3 linked regions of the Saccharomyces cerevisiae S288C genome follow. Each later gene encodes a partner of the first gene's protein in a complex. Each region holds a gene or a part of one and is shown on either strand. Other genes may lie near its edges. A codon is read from its position in the direction of its gene.

Evidence for each region. The genes of interacting proteins can lie anywhere in the genome.
Region 2: the proteins of MCM21 (region 1) and NKP1 are in contact, whole or in part, in a cryo-EM structure (PDB 6NUW), measured with the Saccharomyces cerevisiae proteins. Residues at the interface, in NP_010604.4 of Saccharomyces cerevisiae: Glu316 (codon at 5,083), Val325 (codon at 5,110), Ser326 (codon at 5,113), Cys327 (codon at 5,116), Ser328 (codon at 5,119), Glu345 (codon at 5,170); in NP_010671.4 of Saccharomyces cerevisiae: Arg100 (codon at 1,827), Val101 (codon at 1,830), Glu102 (codon at 1,833), Gly103 (codon at 1,836), Glu104 (codon at 1,839), Pro105 (codon at 1,842).
Region 3: the proteins of MCM21 (region 1) and OKP1 are in contact, whole or in part, in a cryo-EM structure (PDB 8OVX), measured with the Saccharomyces cerevisiae proteins. Residues at the interface, in NP_010604.4 of Saccharomyces cerevisiae: Asp252 (codon at 4,891), Thr253 (codon at 4,894), Asn254 (codon at 4,897), Gly255 (codon at 4,900), Asp262 (codon at 4,921), Asp263 (codon at 4,924), Leu266 (codon at 4,933), Lys269 (codon at 4,942), Arg270 (codon at 4,945); in NP_011695.1 of Saccharomyces cerevisiae: Val323 (codon at 2,802), Arg326 (codon at 2,811), Asn327 (codon at 2,814), His330 (codon at 2,823), Glu331 (codon at 2,826), Asn333 (codon at 2,832).

Annotation. Positions count from the first base shown.
Region 1 is NC_001136.10:1,099,704-1,107,755, forward strand, and holds MCM21 (Mcm21p), read left to right. Parts: upstream 1-4,054; coding exon 4,055-4,106; intron 4,107-4,189; coding exon 4,190-5,244; downstream 5,245-8,052. Other genes in the region: HIM1 (Him1p), read left to right, coding at 2,481-3,725; YFT2 (Yft2p), read right to left, coding at 5,300-6,124; auxilin-like protein SWA2, read right to left, coding at 6,392-8,052. UniProt on the Saccharomyces cerevisiae protein: Component of the kinetochore, a multiprotein complex that assembles on centromeric DNA and attaches chromosomes to spindle microtubules, mediating chromosome segregation and sister chromatid segregation during meiosis and mitosis.
Region 2 is NC_001136.10:1,239,460-1,242,205, reverse strand, and holds NKP1 (Nkp1p), read left to right. Parts: upstream 1-1,529; coding exon 1,530-2,246; downstream 2,247-2,746. Other genes in the region: putative ammonium permease ATO3, read left to right, coding at 175-1,002; ribosomal protein P2 RPP2B, read right to left, coding at 2,382-2,714. UniProt on the Saccharomyces cerevisiae protein: Component of the kinetochore, a multiprotein complex that assembles on centromeric DNA and attaches chromosomes to spindle microtubules, mediating chromosome segregation and sister chromatid segregation during meiosis and mitosis.
Region 3 is NC_001139.9:853,175-856,730, reverse strand, and holds OKP1 (Okp1p), read left to right. Parts: upstream 1-1,835; coding exon 1,836-3,056; downstream 3,057-3,556. Other genes in the region: ribonucleotide-diphosphate reductase subunit RNR4, read left to right, coding at 430-1,467; PBP1 (Pbp1p), read left to right, coding at 3,516-3,556. UniProt on the Saccharomyces cerevisiae protein: Component of the kinetochore, a multiprotein complex that assembles on centromeric DNA and attaches chromosomes to spindle microtubules, mediating chromosome segregation and sister chromatid segregation during meiosis and mitosis.

The DNA of each region.
Region 1 (8,052 bases):
CACCTGATTGCAGCTGTAAAAGCAGTAAAATCAATCAAACCAATACGGACAACCTTAAGATACGATGAGGCAATCACCTATAATAAAGATATTAAAGAAAAGGAAAAATATATCGAAGCATACCACAAAGAAGTCAACCAACTATTGAAAATGAATACTTGGGACACTGACAAATATTATGACAGAAAAGAAATAGACCCTAAAAGAGTAATAAATTCAATGTTTATCTTCAACAGGAAACGTGACGGTACTCATAAAGCTAGATTTGTTGCAAGAGGTGATATTCAGCATCCTGACACTTACGACTCAGGCATGCAATCCAATACCGTACATCACTATGCATTAATGACATCCCTGTCACTTGCATTAGACAATAACTACTATATTACACAATTAGACATATCTTCGGCATATTTGTATGCAGACATCAAAGAAGAATTATACATAAGACCTCCACCACATTTAGGAATGAATGATAAGTTGATACGTTTGAAGAAATCACTTTATGGATTGAAACAAAGTGGAGCGAACTGGTACGAAACTATCAAATCATACCTGATAAAACAGTGTGGTATGGAAGAAGTTCGTGGATGGTCATGCGTATTTAAGAATAGTCAAGTAACAATTTGCTTATTCGTTGATGATATGATATTGTTCAGCAAAGACTTAAATGCAAATAAGAAAATCATAACAACACTCAAGAAACAATACGATACAAAGATAATAAATCTGGGTGAAAGTGATAACGAAATTCAGTACGACATACTTGGCTTAGAAATCAAATATCAAAGAGGTAAATACATGAAATTAGGTATGGAAAACTCATTAACTGAGAAAATACCCAAATTAAACGTACCTTTGAATCCAAAAGGAAGAAAACTTAGCGCTCCAGGTCAACCAGGTCTTTATATAGACCAGGATGAACTAGAAATAGATGAAGATGAATACAAAGAGAAGGTACATGAAATGCAAAAGTTGATTGGTCTAGCTTCATATGTTGGATATAAATTTAGATTTGACTTACTATACTACATCAACACACTTGCTCAACATATACTATTCCCCTCTAGGCAAGTTTTAGACATGACATATGAGTTAATACAATTCATGTGGGACACTAGAGATAAACAACTGATATGGCACAAAAACAAACCTACCGAGCCAGATAATAAACTAGTCGCAATAAGTGATGCTTCATATGGTAACCAACCATATTACAAGTCACAAATTGGCAACATATATTTACTTAATGGAAAGGTAATTGGAGGAAAGTCCACCAAGGCTTCATTAACATGTACTTCAACTACGGAAGCAGAAATACACGCGATAAGTGAATCTGTCCCATTATTAAATAACCTCAGTCACCTTGTGCAAGAACTTAACAAGAAACCAATTACTAAAGGATTACTAACCGACAGTAAATCTACAATCAGTATAATTATATCCAATAATGAAGAGAAATTTAGAAACAGATTTTTTGGTACTAAAGCAATGAGACTAAGAGATGAAGTATCAGGAAATCATCTGCACGTATGCTATATCGAAACCAAAAAGAATATTGCAGACGTAATGACCAAACCTCTTCCGATAAAAACATTCAAACTATTAACAAACAAATGGATTCATTAGATCTATTACATTATGGGTGGTATGTTGGAATAAAAATCCACTATCGTCTATCAACTAATAGTTATATTATCAATATATTATCATATACGGTGTTAAGATGATGACATAAGTTATGAGAAGCTGTCATCGATGTTAGAGGAAGCTGAAACGCAAGGATTGATAATGTAATAGGATCAATGAATATAAACATATAAAACGGAATGAGGAATAATCGTAATATTAGTATGTAGAAATATAGATTCCATTTTGAGGATTCCTATATCCTCGAGGAGAACTTCTAGTATATTCTGTATACCTAATATTATAGCCTTTATCAACAATGGAATCCCAACAATTATCTAATTACCCACATATTTCTCAAATCTCCTATATTACGATCTATTCTTTAGTCTAAATGTTACCAATCGTTATCCTTTTTTATCATCAATCCGTGCGTTTCAGTTGCTTTTAAATTTGATAACGCATTCTTATCATTTATGTCATTTTATTACATCATATATGATAATATTCCGTCACCTTGAATACTCATCAAGAAACGATAAGTTGTTGTAATTTAACAGTAACTCTGCATATAATTCAACAGGTAAAAACTAACTTTTATATCCTTGAACTTCTTCATTTTTGTGTCTTTCATTGAAAGTATAATTTTCCTTTTTTTTTTTTGGTTTTCAATACATATAATGATGGGTGACATTTTTTGTGTCATTTAGATTAAAAGAAATTTTAAGAAAAATTGACGTATTTAATTTTGATCCGCAGTAAACGCTATAAATTCTTTTTAATATAAATGACAGCTTTTTATACATATAGACCCTTTGAAGAATATTCCAAACTAGAAAGGTTGATCAGAAATGAGTTATAGTGTCAACACGTTTACAGATTACGTTTTATTGTTTGGATCATCTAGTTTAGTAGGAAAAGGTATTTTAGAGAACCTGTTGGACATAAATTTATATATTAAAAATGTTTCGGACCTACAAGGCAAGCTTGATAGCTTAAGTGAAATAAAGGGAAATGTCGTTCTCAATAAACATGTCTTTTGTGTTAATAGAAGGTGCATCAATGAGGAGAAATCATTTATGAAGACCATTGATTATATAAATATGAGATCAGTTACTTGGCAAGGTGGCAGATATTACTTGAGAAGCAGGAAAGAAAAAGACACTGAAAAAGTACCGTCTAGTCCTAATACTTTTTGTTATGATAATTTTGAAGAAGGATTTATTAAAAATACGCCTGAAGAGAGGGGAAAAGATGGTTATTCTTTTGTTTATAATCAGAAACAGTTCAGTTACACACTACATTATGCATGCGGAAAGGAAAAAGGTATTGAGATCATTTGTAATTTTACTGTAACGCAATTGATCATCCCCAGATCTGAAACTTGGCCAAAATTGCTTCCACGGATATTCTCAGGAACACAAAAGCTGGAAAAGTTTGACATTGACAACAAAAATTACGTTCCCGGTAGAAGTTTGCCTAGTCTGTGTGATATTAGCACTATGGTGTGCTCTTTGGGCTCCACCTCAGCTAGAGTGCGGAGAACTCAGGTACCAAGTTCCTTTGCTGACTATTACTTACCTTTTAATTTAGCACAAGAATTCACGAATACAACTAACAAAAGGTTGGTGGTTACAACTGCCTTTAATAATGATTTTCTTAGTAAAACTTTCGAGTATTTTAGAATAAAAGCTAAATTAGAAAATGACTTGGATGAAGCTTTGCCAAATAAGCTAAAGGAGCTAGTTATTTTGAGGCCAGGTCCGATGTGTGGACAGCACGGAAATCCTATAAACGTTGAATTGGGTAAAGAAAACTCCACTTTCTTGGAAAAAATTTTTTATTATCCTCACTATCTTTTAGTTTATAAAAAGAAATATATCAGTGAGGCCAGAAGGATTGGCTTAAGAACAAAGTTAAGCGAAATAATTGCTTCCAGTATATATAGGATGCCAGGATCTGCATTATTAGGATACGCTGTCCCAGTTTCAAAGGTTTCTTATGTTGCCTCTTTGATGGCGATTGAAAGGAAAAGTAAAGAGGCGGGACCTAAGCTGGAAGTAATTAGCAGTTATCAAATTGATATGATTGTGTGAACAGTCAGTCTTTTCTTTTGATAGATGCGAAGTTATTAAATAAATAGTAGCCTAATACATAAAAGAACCACTATATCATGGATTCGATACCTGGGCCGTCTTAAATTTTTATCGCATTGAATATGCAAACTTTATGTATTGTTTTACTAATCGCCAGTAATGGCCGACCAATTCTATGATAGATCTTCCCTAAGTTTATAATGATGGTAAGAAAACGCGCATATTTCAAAACTGAAGAAAAAACAAACAAAAGCCATATGGATAATGAGGGGAAAATGTGATTTCTTTACTTGAGCAATTCTTTCAAACTATCAGTAACGCTCCTGGCAATGAGTAGAATCGATGATTTACAGCAGGACATTGAATCTTTACTCAGTGAAAGTATGTGATTTTGAGGCTGTAACAATTTTCTTTCTTTTAAAAAAATGATTAAGTTGAACACTAACATAGTAGAATCTTCACAGTCAATTCATTAGAAGAAAGTCGTGAGAAGCTCAAAGCGAAGATAAAAGATAAAAGAAAAAATGAGGAGAGCGCTAATCCTATAGTACAAGAATTTGAAGATCTATTCGATCAATTCCCACAGTTGAATAATTTTTTATTTAATGAGCATCCAGAATTGGAAGAGACAGATGACAAGGACATATCAAGGGCGCAAGCGGATATACCAGCAACGCCAATACCGTATGAACCAAAGAAAAGAGCTAAGCTGGAGAATGAGGAAATTTTACCAGAACAAGAATGGGTTTTAAAGACCCAGCCAATGGTTCAGCATCAAATGTTTGATCCTGGGGTGGCAGATTTATTGGATACAGACATTCTAACGTCACCTTCAAAAAGAAAGCGAAAACTAAAAATAGACGATATTAGTACAAGTGATAGAAGTGAGTTGGAAGATTATATTGTCCTGGAAAATGTTTATAGAATGTTTGGTATAACATTTTTCCCTCTTGTGGACCCTATTGACCTTAAGATAAAAGATGCTAGCGGTGAAATATTTGTTGATAGAGAAATGCTGGGAATACGACTGGAAGTCTTCAGCGAACGGACATCCCAATTTGAAAAACCTCACTATGTATTGTTGAAAAAGAGGATCAAATCGAATAGTTGGTTCCTGTTCAAGCATACAATCCCGAGTTTCATTGATGTCCAAGGTATATTTGATGACACCAATGGGGGACTAGTGATATCTCATGATGACGCCTATTTATTTGCTAAAAGAGTCTTCCTGCAACTTGTGGAAGTACAGAAAAGACGACAGATTTTTAAGGACTTAGAAGCTAAGAAGATAATCCACGACTTAGATTTAGATTTAGAATCTTCAATGGTTTCGTTTTTTGTGAAGGATATTAAAGTCGAGTTGTTTGTAAAACAAAATGAAATAGTTTCATGTTCAATATTGGACGATATTCATGATTTTAGTCAAAATAATAAAAGTAAATGGGAAATTGCATTGCTCGGTTCTTTGGATGATTTGGAATTAAAATTAAACCATTCTTTCGCGACAATATTCAAGTGAATGTTAACAAAAATATACTTTATAGAAAGAGGATAGAGCTAATTTTCTCTGTTTATCATAGATATAAGTAATTGTGTAGTATCCCAATTTTGGGTAGAATGTGGTATATGAAAACAGGGCATATGAAACCCATAAGGCAACCTAACACTTTTTCCAAGATAGTATGATAATAAATAGCGGTAACCCAGAGAATACATATCCAAATTACTAGGACAGCGCAAACAATGGCAAGGCAAGCTCGTACCCACTTATTCACAACCCAAAACATATCTTCAGCTTGAACAAATCTACTGAATAAGTGAAGTTCCATCCAAAGAATCATGCTTATACTCACAAGAAAGCAGAAGTGTCCACTAATGTCAAACCCACCATCCCATTTCCCATTTTCTAGACGGCACTTTTCAGCTGATGTCGTTTTACTACCAGAACTGCATTCTCCCCCTGTCCAAATGAAAACATGATCGATAAATTGGAAATTCAAAAACAATAATAGATATTTTAGAACGAACTTGCAAGCATATTGAGTGATCATAATACTGATTATTCTATTTTTGAGCAGAGGCCAATGGTTAGTATATGTTAAATAGGAAGAGCTAGTTTCGGTACTTGATATTGGTAAAGGCAATATATCCATTCTTGCTAGATAGTGGAAGTATATTTGCAGAAAAGCCAAACTAAAGAATAAAAATGGCCACAGTTGGTTCGCTTTGTATGCAAAAATAACATTGAAAATATTGGACGATTTCAATAGAGCGCATGTCTCTTTTTGATGGTTTAATGTTTCTGAAGATACTACTATTGATAATAATGCGCCTACAAAAACTTGAAAGGGGTAAATGAGATACGCCTTCCTTGACCAATAATTGAGCTGACGTATCATAATCTTTTTCAATTTTTAGTCGTTCAGTGGTTTTAATACAATGCCCTATTTCTATTGTGTTTTAACATTGTGATATTTTGAATTTTTTTTTTTTTTTTGCAGATTGTTTTTCATATTAATCAAATTGGGTGCCACTTGTAAGTCAATAAATGAAACTAAGCCTTTCCATACTTTTTCCTAACGCGCTTTGAAGAATTTGTTTTCCTATATATATTTGTATAAAGTACATATCAAAAACAACTGAGCGAAGCAGGCACACAAGGGAAATCAGTTAATGTCATTCTGCAGTTTGAACTTATCCCAAGCAATACTTAAAGTACTGAAAATATTCTCTGCAATCATCTTATTTTCCAGGGACAAGGACTCTGGTATCTTATCAGGATGTGTCTTGGCTACAGCTTTCATGTATGTAATTTTGACCCTCTTAGGCATAACCAAATCTTGCATAGAGACATCCTTCCAATTGCACCATGTTAGTAAGCTGGATAAATTTGCTAACAGATGACGAATGTCATCGTCTTTGCCATCCTTCCAGGAGCTAATTTTCTCAAATACTTTATCATATAGCGCCAGTTTAGCGTTTTCTAGCTCCCGTTTTTTTATTTCTGAAGTGCTATCAACAGAAATTGGAGAATTTGAAGAAGAAGCGGTTAAGTTCTGTTTTTTTGTTGCAGGCGAGGTTGTCGTTGTCTTCTTCTTAACGGGCATGGATTTTTTAACAGGGGGAGGATTAATAAAGTCTTGGCATCTTCTTTTTCCCTGCATGATTTTATCATCAAAAAAATTCTTCTTAATCAGCTCTTGGTATGTTTCTAGTGCTTTTTTGAAACTTTCTAAATGTTCAAAAGACTCAGCACGCCTAATCATAATCTTTGGCCAGATGTCGTTAAATGATCTTTCAGGGTCACTATTTGAGATTTTATTCTTCCACTTAGCTTTGCTTGATGGGAATAATTCCAAAGCCATGCTGGAGTTTTCTATGGACTTAGAGTACTCACCGATTTTCAGTTGCGAGGCAATAATGTTTGATAATGCAATGATCCTCAATGGATGATTTAAAGGCAATGTATTTAAAGACTTTTCATATTCTTGTAATGAGTTAATATAATCCCCGTTCTTGAACAAACTAGTACCTTTCGCCTTAAATTCGTTATACCCCGATAATTCAATATCTGAGATGGGTATTGTAGAGTCAGTGTTGCTGTTTTCATTGAAGAGGGTGCTATCTTCATTGCTTTTACTATTGGTGAGATTTCCTTCTGAAAAGTCGAGAAGACTATCCTCTATCAGGGGCTCATTTCTTCGCGAATTTTCTTCAATTAGTATACCAGAAGTCGGTGAGGAGGAGTGGGAGACATCAGGCGCTGTCCTCTTTGTTATATCAATCTTTGTTTCGAAATCAGTTAAAAGATCTTGATCCGGATTATCGGCAGGTGGTAAGTTCTCTACGACTTCATTATCTTCAAACAAAATTCTATTGGGTGAGTCGTTTACTTGAGGCAAATCATAATCCTCAACCTTATCATGAGTTTTTGAGTAATTATTCAGTCTATCATTTGCCTCAGGTGGGAAGGAGGTCCATTGGTCTACCAGTTTCTTACCCTTATTGAAAAAATCAGTGGCCATGCTGAATAAATTATTGCTATCTGTACCAACAATGTTGGATAATCCTGACTTTTCCATTTTTATACCACTTTCTTTCTTTCTTATAGCTAGATCGTTGCGCTCCTTTTGCTTTGACTTTAAAATCTCCAAATATCTTTCATAAGTTACGTCATTTTCGTAAAACTCAGTGGCTTCTTCAATTGATAAACCTAGAGACATCAATCTTGCTATTTCCATATCCTTAACTTCATCAACTAAGGCGTCATCACCATTGTAAAGGTGGTCTTCCTTGCTTCCATAGTAATCCTCATCCGGTTTTTGGA
Region 2 (2,746 bases), 140 kb from region 1:
GTGACTCAGAAGGAATATTTAAATAAAACAACTTTTTAGCAAATTGAATACTCATCGATGAGCTTCGCTTGATTGCCTAATATTCCCCCAGTTTTATAAACAGTTGGGTCACATATAACTGAATACATTCCCAGAAAGATTTAGTAAGAATAAAAAATAAAAATACTGGTTAAAATGACATCGTCTGCTTCTTCTCCACAGGATTTGGAAAAGGGTGTGAACACTCTAGAAAATATTGAGACGCTCCCCCAGCAGGGTTCGATTGCAGGCGTTTCGCAGGGCTTCCCTAATATTCAAGAGATATACTCCGACAGAGACTTCATTACTCTAGGATCCTCCACCTACAGGCGCAGAGATTTGCTCAATGCACTAGACAGAGGGGATGGGGAGGAAGGAAACTGTGCAAAGTATACTCCGCACCAGTTCGCTAATCCGGTTCCTTTGGGTCTCGCATCGTTTTCTCTGTCATGTCTAGTTCTGTCGCTAATTAATGCGAACGTTCGCGGCGTCACTGATGGTAAATGGGCGCTAAGTTTGTTTATGTTTTTTGGTGGTGCCATTGAATTGTTTGCCGGGTTATTGTGTTTTGTCATTGGGGACACATACGCCATGACTGTGTTCAGTTCTTTCGGCGGGTTCTGGATCTGCTACGGTTATGGGCTAACAGATACTGATAATTTGGTCAGCGGCTATACCGATCCCACAATGTTGAACAATGTCATTGGGTTCTTCCTTGCGGGCTGGACCGTTTTCACCTTCTTGATGTTGATGTGTACATTGAAGAGCACGTGGGGTTTGTTCTTACTATTGACGTTTTTGGATCTTACCTTCCTACTACTGTGTATCGGCACCTTCATTGACAACAACAATCTCAAAATGGCCGGTGGCTATTTTGGAATTTTAAGTAGTTGCTGCGGTTGGTATTCGCTATACTGTTCTGTGGTGAGTCCTTCAAATTCTTATTTAGCCTTCAGGGCGCACACAATGCCAAATGCTCCTTAAAGGGTATGAAATGAAAAACAAAACTTATAAAACATTAAAATGATTTAATAATAATGATAACGTTACGTTTAGACATAGTCTTTTTTTTTTTTCTTGGCCAAGAGTTTTTATAAAAATTTATATATCATTTACCCACAATACTTAGCAAATTGTTCGAGACGAAATATTCTTTTTTTGAATTGTTACCGATGGATGGATTTGTTCGAAATAAGACCCAAGGCTTAGGCATCTTTTTTTTTTTTTTCTGTAATATTTGGACTAAATATAAATCAAATTTCAAGAAGGAAGGGAAAAATCATAAAATAGTGAAGAATTCAGGCAATCAAGATTTAATTCGCATGTAAAATATCTCTTTCTCGTGAACAAAACTTTCGTTTGTACCTTTTGAGTACAGATATATTGCTTTGTTCAAAGGTGATATAAAAACGATGACGCGTCACAGGGGAAAAGAGGTAAATCTACATGCGAAGAAATATTTTTGGTAAATGTGCACAGAAACTAAAGCAACAATAGATTGTAGGAATAAGATGACAGACACATATAATAGCATATCCAATTTTATAGAAAATGAATTGACCGCACTGCTGTCGAGTGATGACTACCTCATGGATGACCTAGCAGGCGAATTACCAAATGAAGTGTGCAGATTACTAAAGGCTCAAGTAATTGAAAAGAGAAAGGATGCCATGAGCAGGGGAAAACAAGACTTACTGAGCAAAGAGATATACGATAACGAGTCTGAATTGAGAGCCAGTCAATCGCAGCAGATAATGGAACTTGTTGGAGACATACCAAAGTACTCTCTTGGAAGTGAACTAAGAAATAGAGTTGAGGGTGAACCTCAGAGTACATCGATAGAGAGATTAATTGAAGATGTGTTGAAGCTGCCGCAGATGGAAGTAGCAGACGAAGAGGAAGTTGAAGTGGAAAATGATCTCAAAGTTCTAAGCGAGTATAGTAATTTAAGGAAAGATTTAATACTGAAATGTCAGGCTCTCCAAATAGGCGAAAGTAAATTATCAGATATTCTGAGCCAAACAAATTCTATAAATTCTTTAACAACTTCCATTAAAGAAGCTTCTGAAGATGATGATATCAGCGAGTACTTCGCCACTTACAATGGGAAACTAGTAGTTGCGTTGGAAGAAATGAAGCTATTATTGGAAGAGGCCGTGAAAACATTTGGCAATTCTCCGGAAAAGAGAGAAAAAATAAAAAAAATCCTAAGCGAGTTAAAGAAGTAATACTATTTTCAATTAATTGTCTATATAGAATCTTATACAGTAATTAATTATTTTTAAATCACAATGGAATCGAGGATTTACACCAGATTTTGTAAAATGAAGGAAAACAAGAAAATTGTTTATTAATTAAATTCCTTAATCGAATAAACCAAAACCCATGTCATCATCAGATTCTTCCTTAGCTTCTTCTTCCTTTTCTTCTTCAGCAGCATCACCACCGGCAGCAGCACCGGCAGCACCGGCAGCAGCAGAAGAAGCACCACCAGTTGGAACAGTAGCGAACTTCTTTTGACCTTCAGCGATGATTTCTTCCAAAGAGCCCTTACCTTCCAAAGAGGACAACAATTCGTTGATTCTGGCTTCATCGACTTCAGCACCGACAGATTCGACGACGGCCTTGATGTCAGCGGCGGATGGGGCAGCGTTACCACCTTGAACCAATAATAAGTAAGCAGCTAAGTATTTCATTTCTGTTGTTGATTAATAGATATTACTTTCTA
Region 3 (3,556 bases), on another chromosome or scaffold:
TGTTCACCACAGCGTCTCTTGCCTTCCCGATGGGCGTTGTTGTGGCAACACCATCCTCTTTGCTTACTGTAATCGGTAGACGACGTCCGTTCCTTCCTTGGTCTCATGAAGCTCTGGCGTATAAAAACGGCGATTGAATCTTCAATGTTCCTAAAGTTTCATTCCTTATCTCTCATTTTCTTCATTTTTTGTCTCTTGGCTTTTCGATCAAAAAAAGACTATCAATAGATACATTGGTTTCTGACCCCACCTCTGTCCCCTTACACTATCAAATTTCACTTTTTTACTTTTTTTTTTTTTGCAAAAGGCCTTGTCTCGAAACAGAAAGAAAAAAAATTCATTTAAAAAGGGAAATAAAAAATTGCTAATACAAAAACAGATCTTTTTGAGCCACACAACCCCGCGCAACGCACACAATTAGTTATTACAATGGAAGCACATAACCAATTTTTGAAGACTTTCCAAAAAGAACGTCATGATATGAAAGAAGCTGAAAAGGATGAAATCCTTTTGATGGAAAACAGCCGTAGATTCGTGATGTTCCCTATCAAATACCACGAAATCTGGGCTGCTTACAAGAAGGTTGAAGCCTCTTTCTGGACTGCGGAAGAAATCGAATTGGCTAAGGACACTGAAGATTTCCAAAAATTGACTGATGACCAGAAGACCTACATCGGTAACTTGTTAGCCTTGTCCATTTCTTCTGACAACCTTGTCAACAAGTACTTGATCGAAAACTTTTCTGCCCAATTGCAAAACCCTGAAGGTAAGAGTTTCTACGGGTTCCAGATTATGATGGAAAACATCTACTCTGAAGTTTACTCCATGATGGTTGATGCCTTCTTCAAGGACCCTAAGAACATCCCTCTATTCAAGGAAATTGCCAATTTGCCTGAAGTCAAGCATAAGGCTGCTTTCATCGAGAGATGGATTTCCAACGATGACAGCTTGTATGCTGAAAGACTAGTAGCATTTGCTGCAAAGGAAGGTATTTTCCAAGCTGGTAACTATGCTTCTATGTTCTGGTTGACTGACAAAAAGATTATGCCAGGTTTAGCAATGGCCAACAGAAACATCTGTAGAGACAGAGGTGCCTACACTGACTTTTCATGCTTGCTATTTGCCCATTTGAGAACCAAGCCAAACCCCAAGATCATTGAAAAAATCATTACCGAAGCCGTGGAAATTGAAAAGGAATACTACTCAAACTCTTTGCCAGTAGAAAAATTTGGTATGGATTTGAAGAGCATTCACACCTACATAGAATTTGTCGCTGACGGTCTATTACAAGGTTTCGGTAACGAAAAATACTACAACGCCGTCAACCCATTCGAATTCATGGAGGATGTCGCTACCGCTGGTAAGACCACCTTCTTTGAAAAGAAGGTTTCCGACTACCAAAAGGCCAGTGACATGTCTAAGTCCGCTACCCCATCCAAGGAAATTAACTTTGATGATGACTTCTAAGTCAACGACGGGGTGCGTTCTTTTATTCTTGGCCACTTTTATTTATATATATTTATATATACCTAGGTACAGTATAACTAAACTTAAGTAGAAAAATTTAAAAAGAAACTACAGTTTTTTTTTATATTTATTATGACAATATTTGCCATTTTCTTGTAGGTAGATAAGGGAAAGATTCAGAGAGTACCATCATCCCGGTCATTTCATTTAAATAACATATTTTTGTTACCCGGAGAGTCACAATACGGTCCACCCATTTGTTTACTACCTCGAAGTTAATACAGATAGAGGTACATAGCAACAATGGATGAGGTAACTTGCACCCTATGGACGAATAATTCAAGCGATACTAGTGCTACGTATACTGTATGGCAGCTGATAGAGATAATTTTTTACAAAATATTGAAAATGATTCAATTAACAATGGCCAGGCCATGGATCTGTCACCCAACCGAAGTTCCTCTGAAAGCGATAGCAGCATTCTCATGAATGTGAATGATATTAAAACTTTACGTCTGGACGTAGCACCAGAAGCTAAAAGCACCCAATCAAAGAAGTCGCTTTTTTATGAGAACTCTGATGATGCTGAAGAAGGAGAAATAGAAGAGCGCACGAACAAAGAAGAAGGACAATACCATCATAAAGGATCTAAACAACTTCGATTTGAGGTTGGCAAGGAAAGTACAGGTAAATTGCAATCTCATCTATCGGATGGAAGCGCAACAAGTGGAGAGGGCAATGTACGACCTTGGGAATTCAGGAAGGTAATACAAGCTGAGTATAGAGAAAGGTTGCCGCGCAATTATGAATTAAAGCATTGGAAAAAGCCTTCTAAAATAATGATAGGATCCATACTTCGTTTATTAGAGACTAACACTGTAAGCGCTCTTGATTCTGTCTTTGAGAAGTACGAAAAGGAAATGAACCAAATGACGCATGGCGATAATAATGAGGTTAAAAGAATATATTCTAAGAAGGAACGTTTGCTTGAAATAATCCTCACAAAGATAAAGAAGAAGCTAAGACAGGCCAAATTTCCCTCTAGGATATCGGAAAGAGATCTAGACATCGAGTATATTTATTCTAAGCGACAATTTATTCAAAACCGGTATTCACAAGAACTACAAAATAATGAGAGATTGGAAGCAATTCTTTCACGTGAACAAAACCTTTTGGAGGAAACTAGGAAGTTGTGCATGAATTTAAAAACAAACAACAAGAAACGACTCACTGAGAAGCTAATACAAAAAGATCTGCATCCAGTACTTAACAAAGCAATGGAATATACATATGGCTTAGAATCTACTAATGGATTTATGCATCCTGATGGCCCAGTAACTTTTAGAAATGATAGCCACGAATTGAACCTGATGTTGAACGACCCCATAAAAAGTACAGCCGATGTGAGGCTTGATAAGGAGGAAGTACTGTCGTTGTTACCTTCTTTGAAAGAATATACGAAGAAATCAAAGGAACTTAAGGAAACAATGGGTCAAATGATTTCGGATTCACATGAAGAAGAAATCAAAGAGGTTTTTGTACCGCACCATGAGTCGCACCAAGATAAGACCGAAGAAGATATACACTAGCGATAATCCATTGTTTCAGAGTTTACGATTACGATGCATATAACTAAATATTTGATATATAATCATGCACTATTAGCATCCGGGTTACGTAACTTCTCCGCCAACGAGCCTCAGAAAACCTTGGAGAGCCACAACAAATTATGAAAAACTGGAAAAAAAAAAAAATAAAGAAGGAAGGAAAGCTCAATTGGGAGGCACTTTCTTTACTTGAGATTTGCGTTTTTGTAAAGCAGTTCTTAAATCGGCATCTCTCATCGCATAGATCTTTAAGGAAGATATAGGTCATTCACTCGCGTTTTCTTCTATCTTTCTTTTTGTTCTTTCCAGAAGACGTTTCGATTATTTCCGAATTGATCTTGAAGGGGAAGCAATAATTAAATCTTTGAAAATTGATTTGATATAAAAACTGACATCCTCAGTCACGGAAGTAATTAAAGGAGTTCATTACATTGAAACAATATGAAGGGAAACTTTAGGAAAAGAGATAGCTCCACCAACTC